Linked DNA regions of Rattus norvegicus. The protein of the gene in region 2 interacts with the protein of the main gene of each other region in a pairwise test. Links are inferred from orthologs where the notes say so. Each region holds a gene or a part of one and is shown on either strand. Other genes may lie near its edges.

What was found.
Region 1: the proteins of Gramd1c (region 2) and Cd151 interact in binary tests that used the Homo sapiens proteins (3 or more experiments, as listed by UniProt). The link is inferred for Rattus norvegicus from reciprocal best matches to the Homo sapiens genes GRAMD1C and CD151.

The regions. Positions count from the first base shown.
Region 1 is NC_086019.1:205,991,763-205,997,805, reverse strand, and holds the start of Cd151 (CD151 antigen), read right to left. Parts: upstream 3,507-6,043; 5' UTR 3,461-3,506; intron 3,132-3,460; exon of another isoform or gene 2,863-3,131; intron 2,493-2,862; 5' UTR 2,363-2,492; intron 1,675-2,362; 5' UTR 1,668-1,674; coding exon 1,584-1,667; intron 1,465-1,583; coding exon 1,273-1,464; intron 984-1,272; coding exon 909-983; intron 806-908; coding exon 701-805; intron 614-700; coding exon 455-613; intron 343-454; coding exon 196-342; 3' UTR 1-195. Other genes in the region: Cracr2b (EF-hand calcium-binding domain-containing protein 4A), read right to left, coding at 4,506-4,683, 4,895-4,966, 5,045-5,211, 5,368-5,460, 5,699-5,789, 5,889-6,035. UniProt on the Homo sapiens protein: Structural component of specialized membrane microdomains known as tetraspanin-enriched microdomains (TERMs), which act as platforms for receptor clustering and signaling.
Region 2 is NC_086029.1:70,220,257-70,226,167, reverse strand, and holds the end of Gramd1c (protein Aster-C), read right to left. Parts: intron 4,954-5,911; coding exon 4,843-4,953; intron 4,599-4,842; coding exon 4,493-4,598; intron 3,470-4,492; coding exon 3,389-3,469; 3' UTR 1,690-3,388; downstream 1-1,689. Other genes in the region: palmitoyltransferase ZDHHC23, read right to left, coding at 217-359. UniProt on the Homo sapiens protein: Cholesterol transporter that mediates non-vesicular transport of cholesterol from the plasma membrane (PM) to the endoplasmic reticulum (ER).

The sequences.
Region 1 (6,043 bases), on a different chromosome or scaffold from region 2:
ACGCTGCCTCAAGCTTTGGGACTTTGGTGTGCAGGGAAAGGCACTTGAAGCTACCACGGAGGTGGAGCCACCAGGGGACATGGTAATGGCATGAGGGCAGCTACCTCTCTGGCAGTCAGCAGTCTAACTCAGTAGTGTTCAGTAGTGGGGGGCTGGGACACAGCGCGAGGCTGGCCTTCTGGCCTGGCACCATGGTCAGTAGTGCTCCAGCTTGAGGCTTCTGTACAAGCAGCAGGTGAAGATCATGCCGAAGACCTGCACACAGGCGATGCCAATGCCCACGGCCCCGATGACCCGCAGGTGCTCCTGAATGAAGGACTCCAGCTTAGTGATGCAGCCACCCTAGCGGGAGATAATGGTGGTGAACGTTACCGGTTTCCCACATACAGCCCTACTGGACCAGGCTGCCTGAAGACCAGCCCAGCCCAGCCCCACCCAGGCTGAGCACACTTACTTCCACTTTATAGATGTTGGAGGCGTGCTCCCGCTTACCACAGCCAGTTACCACAGTCTTACAGCAGCTGTCAGGGACCACACGGCTGTCTGCCTCACCAGAGCGGATCCACTCGCTGTCTCTCCAGTCTCGAGAGTTGTTGCTGCCACAGCAGTGGAACTACAAGGGGTATGTGGCTGAGACTCACAGCCCGCCAGCACACAACGCCATGCCTAGAAGGCTGGGAGTTACAGGGGGGGCACCCACCTCTTGCTGCAGCTTGTCTACAGCGTTGGTCACACCCTCATGGCCTGACTGGTGGTATCTCTTGATCATGGTGTCCTTCAGATTCTCCTTGAGCTCGGTGTTGAGCTGTGGGTAGGATTAAACTCGTAAGGGCAAAGCTGGTCAAGACCTCCAGTGGGACTGACAGCCTCGTTCCGGACATTACCCTGTGGCCTGTTCAGGCCCTTACCTGCTGATAGTAGACATAGGCCAGGATGCCAGCAATGATCTCCAGAAGGAAGATGATGAGGAGCAGGATGAAGTACTAGGGAACAGGGACCCAGTAAGTGGGGGGTTCCTAGTGCCAAAGCACCACAAAGCCAAGCCCCCAACCCAAGAGGCCAAGCAAGAGGAATGTGGATAGGAATTACACTCTGGGCTGCCTAGCTCCTTGATACTTCTCTGGAAGCTGGTGTCTGCCCCAGTGAGTTCAACAGGGACAGCCTACAGGAATACACTCAACAAGTCAGGCCCCCAGAACCAGTACCAGAGACCCCTGAGAAATCCATGTCAGGCATCCCTAGCCCCACCAGGTGCCACCAGGCCCTGCTGACCAAGCGTAACAGGTTCCGTCGCTCCTTGAAAGTGGCACAGCAGCCCAGGACTCCAGTCACCATGACAACAACACCAGCCACCACTAAGATGTAGGCTGTTGCTAGGTAGGTGCTTGAAGCCAGCAGACTAATGTAGTCACTCTTGAGGGCCAGTGTCCAAATGCCCACTGCCATGACGGCCAGGCCAGCCAGCTGCGGAAAGTATATAGTGGTCACCACATGAGGCCTGGGTCTGGAAGCTGGGACTGAGCTCCTAGGCCAGGCCTCCAACATGGGGAATAGGGATGCAGGGAGAATGTAGCTCTTCTCACCCAGAAGCAGCAGTTGTAGGTGAACAGCAGATACTTGAGGCAGACTGTGCCACATGTTGCCTTCTTCTCGTTGAATTCCCCCATCCTGGGCCTGGAGAAATGGGGAGGAGGTCAGATGGCCTGAAGCACCAGGCCTCCAACTAAGAAGAAAGCTATACACCGATGAAGACAGAGAGGATGCAGCAGTCCCCAGATGCTTGCAGAGTTTGGAGTCCGGCCAGCTATCTGCCTTAAGAGGAGCCTTCCCAGGAACCATATGTGAGTCACTTCCTGGACTAACCCCTCACGGCCAGACACACATGTTGGGTTATCATGGAGGACCCCCAAAACATCTGCTGACTCACTCCTGCTGGCAACTAGGGGAAGCTCCAGCAGGCCTTCAGGGTACATTCCTGTGGATAGACACCCTCAAGCATTTCCTGAGCCCCACGATCAGGCTGATAGGTACTTACAACTCATACCCATCCCCAGAGATGGCAGAGAAGCAGCGAGTTCAGGCCACCCTCAGGTACACTGTGAGGACTCTGAGCCTCTTTACCGCCAGCCGACTTTACCACCAGCCAGGGCAGAGACAATAAAATGCCGGTAGGTGGAGCCTGTGCAATCTGCTCCCCAGTTCCACAGATGTGCATGTGCCGTCCTCCAGGGGTCCCCTAGACACACTAGCATCTGAGGACAGTGTACAAACCTCAGCTGAGCCAGGCCAGGCTCCCAGACAGGCACCTAAACAGAACTTTTAGCCGGCTACCTTAAGGATCTGCCCAAGCCCCAGCACTCACCTCTGGAAGTCAGGACCAGCAGGTACAGGTCAAAGTCACTGATCTGCCCGCCCTTCACCTGGCAGGTGGGATCTTGCCACTCCTATGGTGTCTGAAGCAGTAATCAGAATGATTCTCAGAGCCACCAGATCTGCAAGGAAGCATAACAGCCAAGCCTACTGTTCTCTACTGGACGGCAGTAGGCCAGAGAACATTGCTGGCCTGCCTGATCTAGGGAGGAACAAATGCCTTCTCCAGGTGCCCCGCCCTCCAGGCTCATCCATCACATTCCCTCCCCACCAAACAGCAGCGACTGCAAACTGAAGGAGGATGCATCAACCGTCCACTTCTGGAAGTGGGAGAGATTTCAGACCTCCAATCGGAGATGGGACCCAAAAATACATGCTGCCTCACTGGATGCGGGCAATGACATAAACAGAAGCTTGGCTAGCCACAATGCAAACCCCGGGGCTAGGCTCTAAAAGCCCAGAACCTATGGGGAGCTGGTTCTCTCGACATACCCAGCAACCTAAGCCAAGGCACAATCAGCAGACTGAATGTAAATTCCCTGAGAAAGTGTCCGCGTGGGAGCCGGGACCAGCCAGAAATAGCTCCTGCGGCCAGGACACTACCTCCCTACACTCAGCTCCAGTACCTCCCCTGAGCCCTCCATGGCACCGGGCACCCGCCCCACCGACGGGATGAAATACTGAAGTCGGCTGGGCGAGGAATCCCCGCGTCACAGAGATGAAGTCACCACCGTCCCTGCCGCCCGCCTCCGCCCCGTGCCAGTGGGCGGACCTGCGGTCTCAGGGGAGGGAACCGGTGTCCAGGGACAATGAATAGGGTGATCAGACTTTAACTTTCCGGGTTTCTCCACGAAAGAGACCGCCAGGCCTGCCCAAGAACCACAGAGGCTCTCTTCCTTACCCCTCCCCCTTCCCGCCGCGCTTCTAGCTGCCCTGCCCCGGCGTCGATCTTCCGGAAAGGAGCCTGCAGCCCTGTCCTACGGGCTCTGCCTCCTGGGTGGCCCCGAGGCCAGCCACGGAGACTAGGAACACCAGTAAGCAAGGAACTCAGGACACTGCTCCCCATACCCTTCGGCTTCGGAGCACTCACCAACCACGCTTTGAAATACCAGCCCCGGCAGCCACTGTAGGAGCGCTCATTCGGAGTACAGAGAATGCTCGGCCCGGGGCCTGCGAGGACACGCCCCGCGCGCGACCCCGCCCCAGGCGCAGCCCCGCCCACGGCCGGCTGGGGCAGGCAAGTCCTAACTGGTTTGGTGCTAAGGCGCAAGGGAGAGACCTGGAGATCTGCCCTGTGGGTCTGTAAAGTTAGCTTGAGGGCACCCGTTCTTATCAAAACCTCGGACTCATCCAGAAATAGAGGAGCTAGGCTGGAGAAAGAACCCAGGTGGGGAGCGAAGAGGTGGGGAAGGTGGCACTAGAGGCCCAGAACTGAGGTCAAGACCAATTTCTTCTCCAGTCTAAGCCGGGAGAACAACTCTGAAGCTGCAGGTTCTAGCGGTTGAGGAAATGCCAGAGGGGGAGCTCCAGATCGAGTGTGGAGGGTTCTGAAAGGTCCCACAGAGACATAAGGGCCCTGCGAGAGGAACCCAGTGTGGATTGCATATGGTCTGTCTAGGAACTGTGCCAGAAGGATGATGGTCTGGACCAGAGCGCTAGTTGACCTCACGGAAGTGAGGGGCGGGACCTTCCATTTGAGGACCAGCACCCGGGAGTTTACACCTGTTGAAACCTGAGTCCTTGGATCTTCAGCTGTGAGGGATGGTGAGGGCTTGGTGAACCACAGAACATACACAAGCACAAGGGGACCCACAGGGGCAGGAACGACTGGGTAATGTGCACCTGTAAATCTCTCCGTGTTACCCAGTGCACGAACCACAAATGCACTGTAGCTCCCAAACACACAAAAACCAAGGAATGCACAGTATACAGTGGCCTTTATTGGTCCTTTAGACAAAGATTAAGGAAGACAGGATAAAGACTGAAGACCTGACCACTCTGAGGGTTAGTTCCTTCAGGCATGGGATGCTTTCTGGGTAGAGCTACATACTTAGCAAGCAACCGCCACCCAAGACCAATCCCCTCCTAAGAATAGTCCTCTGGATAAGGAAGTGAGTCATTTGGTGGCTGGCTGGTCATCGGGCACTAGGAAGATGGCCAGAGCCTCGTCTGGGGGGCCGAGCCCAGCCACAACAACAGCAGCAGTAGATAGGTCCCGGCTTGTGGGCGATAGCTAGAGCCTTCCTGTGGCTACTGCCCAGCAGCTTAGTCTCACAGGCATCTCTCTCATCTCGAAGCCTCAGATTCAGCTCCCTAGAAAAGAGAGGTAAGAGACCGAGGAGACTAAGATCTAGAGGGAAAAGTGTGTGGGGGAGATGCTTTCCCTGAGTCCAGAGGACTAGAGAGCCTGCAGCCTGAAGGCTACAGGGCAGACGTAAGGACTTCCAGCAACATGGGTAGGAGTCAATAATATTTGGAAACTTGAAACCACTTCTCCACATTAGCTTAGGCAGGCCTGACCCACCTCAGCAGCTCCAGCTGCCTTAGGAGGCTGAGTTTCTCTTTTTGCATGTTCCTGGAGACAGCAACCACATCTCTGTGGAGAGAAGGTAGTCAATCAGATGCAAGGTGGTGGAAGAGATCCACGACCCTCACCACAGGCACTTCACCACACCTTTGGGTTTGCTCCTGACGACCCTGTGCTTCGCCCTCCAGTCGGATGAGCTGCTCTTGCGCCTGGTCCAGCTGTGCCCGTAAGGCCTCATAGGCCCTCTGCAACTGGATGTGCTGGGCTTGTACCTCTAGCTGTTCTGCAGCCCGGGCTTGCAGCTGCTGTTCCAACTGAGGAATGGTGGAATGCAGGCTGGCAAACCACACCCCTCCGGTGCTAAGCTGACCCCTCACCCTTGCGGCTCCTGGTTGAGAACCCCAAGGCACAAGACACACAAAGAAGTTGAGCCTGTGCGAGGACGCCAAAGTGAACTCAATTCGGCTTACCTCTCGCTGCCTCAGGGCTGCGCGCTCCAACTCCTGCTCTCGGGTCTGCAGCTCCAGCTCCAGGTGGCCCCTCTCTTCCTCCCGGGGTGGGTTCTGGGATGTACAGCCGCACTAGAGCCTTCGCTCCGGGCTCAGAGCAGGCAGGCAAGGGTAGGGAGCGAAGGGGTGGAGAGCGTGGGAAGGGGCACTTGCTGAGGCAGAGCGAAGTTCCCTGGACTTGGGACAGTTTGGACTCTCGAGGTGAGTCCTCTGGGGAGGGACCAATCAGGGAAGGCGGAGCTGGAGAAGCTGGAGAAGCCAGCGAGGCTAGGTGTGGCGTGCGCGGGCCCACCTGACTCTGCCGGCGCTGTCGCTGCTCCCGAAGCTGCTGCTCCAGCTCTTCATACAGTCCGCGCACCTCCCTCTCGTGTTCACTCTCCCGCCTTAGAGGAACCGGGATAGCACAGGCATGATCATTCCCGAGCCAAGTCTCTGCCCCCTCCGTGACTCCCCAGACCTCGCCAGGCCAGGCCAGCCCTCACCTCCGAAGTGCCTGCTCCAGACCGTCGCGCTCCCGGGCCGCCGCCTCCAGGCAGGCGGATGCGCGCATCAGAATTTCCTCTAGAGAACCCAACAGCTCGGGTCGCTCCCGCTGCAGCCCGACCCAGAGTGTCCTCACAGCCCATTGCCTGGAGGA
Region 2 (5,911 bases):
ATCCGCACCTCCTACCCCCGTCATCATCGTTGAAAATGAAAACTGTTGAAGTCCTCATAAACTGAACCCTCACACCTGACAGCAAACACAATTCTCTATTTTAGATCCTTTGGAATAGCAAAAGCAAAACTCAGCATTCTGGATGGCATACCTGAAAGGATATATGGAGGTCTGAACAGAACCAGTGGGGTTAGCATCTGGAAACTGTAAGCTTACCTGTCACAGCCTTCATCGAGGTCCTGACAATCACACAAACAGGCAGCCACGTGGTTCTTTTCCCCATTTCGATCTATGTACTCACAGCAACACAGGGGCTCCAATTCAGGCTCTTCGGTTTTCTTTTTTTTTACTGGCTTCATATTGCCTTTTAGCGTAAAGATTTGTACCTGTCACCATGAGGCATAAGAAGCAGCTCTCGGAAGGTAAAGGTGGAGAGAACTCAACTCACATCCTGTAAACACATCTTCACTTCTCATTAACGCCAACGCCTGAGCAATAAAAAAAAAAAAAAAGAAAGAAAGAAAGAAAAAAGAAAAGGGGGGAGGGGTCCTGTTTTCATCAGGCTTTTCGGGCTCCTCGTGGCCTGAAAGGGGGCTCCTTGACTTCTGGGGTTCCGACCATCTTCTCCTCCCCTTCCCAGCTAGGCTTGCCACATCTGGGTACCAGCCGTTCCCATGGCGACAGCCGACCACGCGGCCCGGGACAGCAGAGCTAGAGCGGCCCAGTTCACCTGCGGGTGCGAGCTTGGAAGGGCCGGGCGGTCCCCACCCCAAAGCTGCGCGTCGTGGAAACTCACCCTCGCAGGTGCCGGCAGCGACGCCCCGGGCGCTGCAACCACCCACCGGCCCGGGGATACCAGGAGCCCCAGCAGCCCCGAGGTCGCCGTCCAGCCCACTCGGAACCCGCCGCTCCGAGGGCGTGGGCGGGCCTGGAGAATGACCTTGGCGGGGAAGTTACCTGCCCTCCGACAGAGGCGGGGACCGGGAGGAGGACCGGCTCCCCTCGGCGCGGTTGCGCCTCCGACCTTGCACGGAGGGCTCGGGCGCGCCGGGCGGAGTCGCCCACCTGTGAGCACCGGCGGTGCGCGCGCCTGCCGAGCGAGCCAGTCGCCCCGGGTCTCCGCTCCGCAGGTCGGCGCGCGCTTCCGGGTGCCCCGCCCCCGGCGCCGGGATCCCGCCGCCCGCACGTGCGCCGCCTGCCCACGAGGCCCCTCCCCCGTCGCGCTCTGGCCGGGCCACCGGGCACCTGCGCCGGGCCCTCGGGGTGCTGCCGGGGTGCTGCTGTGGCGCCGGATCAGACCCGGGCGTTCGCGCGCCGCCTGAGTTCGCCGGCCTCCGGCGCCGGCAACAGGCGTTGGGTTCGATCCGCACCGTCGCCGCGTTAAGGGGTGCCACCCCACGAGTCACCCACCTTCCCCAGAGGCCCGCTGTAGCTCCCAAGCCCGGCTTATCCAACTTGTGCATGCTCGCGAGTCCTGGTGGCTGGGGCTGCCTTCCAGCCAGGCCTCTGTGGTACTTTTGATTCAGTAGTCTGCGCATTTGCAATGAAATTGCCCAAGAGAGTCCTCTCTAGGGTTTCGTCGCTGCACAAATCTGTGAGAACTGTGGGCCTACGTACAGGTTTTCCCTACCCCAGGCTTTCTAGGTTTGGTTTGGTTTGGTTTTTAAGCAGAAACAGAAGAACAGCAACTTAGACATTTTGGGTTTTATTGAAGTCAATCTATATATAACAGATTAAGATCTTAATTCTACATACATATTTAGTGTTTTATCTACAAAGCAACGTTGGTAACCTTTGAGGTATGTGATAAAGTAGTCTGAGAGAAACAACAAAAACATTCACTCTGACAGTTAACATTTTTCTAAATGTAACAATTTGAAGTTTCTAATCCACTCACTCTAACATACAGCCAGATACTTCCTATGTTCCTAAACAAACAAAACAAAACAAGACAAAACGGAACAGGAGGTATTACTCTGAAGCCCCCTTCCCCAGGGAGAGTAGATAGGACTTGTGAAGAGAAACCCTTCCCTTTAGCCAGTATTTTTATTCCCTACAGGCTTCGCAAAAGCGTTGTTAACAATGACATTTGGCTTTGGTGACCTGAGGGAAAGGCAACATTGACTTAAAGACAATGGATATTCAATAAGAATAAATATATGTGCGTGTTCTAGAAAGACCTCTAGAGAACAAAACAATAAATAAATATGTCCTGAACATTCCCTAAATCCTGGGGGACGGAGCTAATTTCAAGTCTGGTCACAGAGTCCTTCTTTTCACAAATGCCTAAGCAGCTGTCCTGAGAGCCCAAGCTTGTGCCTCTCAACTTCAGTCAGCACGCACGTCCCCCAGTCTTTACTGGCGAGTGCGAGTATCTGTCTGTCTATCTTCTGATTGCCAGCAAGACAAGCTACACACAGAATGAAGAATAAAGAATGAAGCTGTATGTAGCTGCTACTGAAAAGCCATCAATTCTTTTCCATGGCATGGGTCACTTCCATTATGGGCCCTCCTAAGGTGAATCCAAGCATAATTCATGGTCTCATTTGATCCATCATGAAATGCCCAGACTTTATAATAATCTTATGGCTTCTAAAACTAAAAGTAGTTCATTCTGAGCATTAATAACTCGAATACTTCCTTCTCCTAAATTACTATTCAGTCTTTTGGATGTATGAAGGGTAATCTCACCTTTGGTAGATATAAATATGTACCTACATACATATATACATATACACACATTTATGTACATGTATATATATATATATATATGTATGTGTGTATACATACACATATATTCCTTCATTAAGATACAACATGGTCAATGACTCTTTCAGACATACAAAAGGTCTGACCACTGGCCTTGAAGCCAAGTCAATGAAGACATTGTAAAGTTTAAAGATACAAACCTGCAATGTCTGCACTTGGAAAATGATCCTTTAAGGTGACAAGTGATTAAAGGGTTCCTTCTTACCTTTTTAGGCTCTTAGACTCAGCTATGAACACACCCCACTGGGCACAGGGACTCTGTGCTAACGTAAATTTAAAGGATCAAGTGACAAGCCTCACTGGAGAAGAGAAGCCACTGTAGCCAGGGTGTCTTCCTTCCCCCCTTTTGTGTCACAGAATTTCAATTCCAAAATATATTTCATGGTTCACTAGAGAAATTCACAGCTTGAAAATAGCTATAAGAAGTGAAAAGATAGAGTCTTAAGGCTACTGGTGAGAATCACTGAGTAAATGTTATTTAAATAAGGCTTTTCTAGTAGAAATCCCGGTAATAAAAAGATCAGAAATGTCCTTTTGACCGCGACAGTCTTCATCCTCTGTTTCCTTCCAGATGTTGTCTTCTAGGTCCAGATGTCTCTTTGATCTCCACATTTCAGCACTAGCTCTCCACAACCACCCCAGACTTGTTCTTGTTTAGTAAATCAAAGGTTTTCTGAAGCATAATGAGTGAGCTCTTCAGCTGCAAACAGAATGATCAAAAATCAGACTTCGATTTTTGCCAGTTATTTTACTCCAAAAGATCTATGTGTATGTGTATATGTATGTCTGTGTATGTATATATACATATATATGTGTGTGTATATATACATATATATGTGTGTATTTGATTTGAGCATCTACATCAATAGATAGATAGATAGATAGATAGATAGATAGATAGATAGATAGATAGAGACGGTCAAATAAAACAGATCATCAAATACCTGATTCTCCAGTATCTGCTATATGAATTCTAGAGAGTTCTTACCAGGTACTAGAGGGCCATAGTTTTTCACTCAGTGTACATTCCAGGAAGTCCATCTGACTATCCAGAGAGAAAGGCTTGTTTTCTTAGACATTCCTCAAGGCTCAGTGGTCTTTTCCACTCTTCCCTGAACACCTCGTGCCCCATGGCTGAGTCATGTCTTCCTAATCCAAGGTCCTCTTCACAGTTCTAAAACTTACCTGTACCTGCTGACCCCATACGATCTTCCCTAACCACCCTGCCTCGGAGCTCCTAGAGCACTACCCACTTCATACTTCTATACTACTTAACTCTGCACTTTTAAAAACAGACATGAAAGCCTGTAGGGTAACTGACTTCTCTCACAAAATCAAAGCAACTGGAGACCAAGAAATATTCCGTATTCCTTACTGTATTCGTTCATTCGCTCATTCAGCAAACCTGCATTGGGTTGGGTACTGTGATTCTTCACAAAGTCTACTGCACAGACTTCACAAAGCTGTGTCAAACATTCCTAGCACTAGTCCAAAGAGCAGAGGGGGTCTAGGATAGGACAATTTGTCAAGATGGTTATAGAAGGAAGAAAGGAGGTTTCTCCTCTCTATAAGACATGGACAAGCACGGAGTGAGAGAAACACCTGAACCAAAAGAGAATGCTGAAGTGGGAGCAGAGTTAGTAAGCAGCTATAGAAGTGTGTCTACAGACGTCCCAAGCTGACAACCCGCCCATTCACACCCCTGAGGAACAACCTGGCCTACCTGTTCCAACATCACTATGGAATCCTGGAGTACTCCTTTTAAACGGTGGGCCTGATCTTTGTTCTTTTGAATATTTTCCGTTCTTGAGAGCCTGTCAGAGACTAAACTAGAAGAAAAAAATTAAATCATAAAACAGCTGCTGATCTTTCATTTACAGAAATTATTGTGCTCCATTTATTGCAAATGAAACACAAAATCATACCCACTGCTGCCGCCACCGCCGCCGCCACCACCCCAGGCGGCGGGGAGGGGGAGAACTAAGCGTGCATGACAAGATACAGCAGACCAAAGTCTCTAAAGTTAAATTTTCTACAACAGAGAAACAGGCAGGGCTGAGGCGGGGAACTTACTTTAAAGATTTCTCTCCTTGGAGGTGAAGCTGGTAGAAGGACTGGGTGGCGTGTTCTATCTTTGACAACTTCAGAAACAGTGTCACATTCAGCAGAACTAGCAGCAGCAAACTGTGCCAAGTAAAGGACAGCTGGTTAACCCACACTGACCTGCACTGCAGAGGCAGCAGCAGAGGAAGCCCAGCACCCTCATGGTAGAGTCAAGAGAATCTATTGTGATTGGAGACCGCAGGGCAGCCTGGACTACAGAGGCAGACCCCACCCCAAGACCCCCTTCCACGACTAAGAAACAGAGTAAAATAACATACATATGCAAAAGCTTTCAACTGTATATGATCTACACCATTTTCTATATTTCAATAAATTATCCCTGTTTCATTATATGAAATAACTGCTTTCAAGTATTATATAGCTGCCAAAGAGAATGATGGGAAATGCCTAGTGTGTGATAAGAAAACTCCTTGAAAGGCCACAACTCACAGATGGCCTCTGACCCCTTTTTCCTTTCTTCTTTGCTCAATCCCAGCCAGTCCTGTGCAACCACTGGCTTAGAAATCTACCAGGTAGGCTTTCAGGGTCTATTTTTGGGTTACACTGGCTTAAGCAATTACATACCCATAATACTGCATTTTAAAAATGAAAGGAAGATCAATACGTAGCTGATTTTAGGAACATCGCAATGTTACCTTTCATTCCCAGTGGAAGCAAAAAAATGTGCATAGATAGATATATAGATAGATAGATACATACATACATACATACAGACAGACAGACAGACAGATACTCTCTTTGAACAGAGAAAGTACCAGATAAATCCCAAGCATATATTACATAACGGTAAATATAAAATTTTTACATTCAAAGTTAATGTTTTCTTTTTAATATCAGCCTTTCAAATGAATACAGACCTCATTACACATGTGCACAGACTGATAAGTAGTATCATGTGCCTTTATTTAGTTCTGTTAAAAGATTTACCTGCCTCAAGCTAAACTGATTGTGTTTGGGGGCATAGCTCAGCCGTAGAATGGTTACTTAGTATGCACCCGGGCCAGGGGTTTGGTTCCAG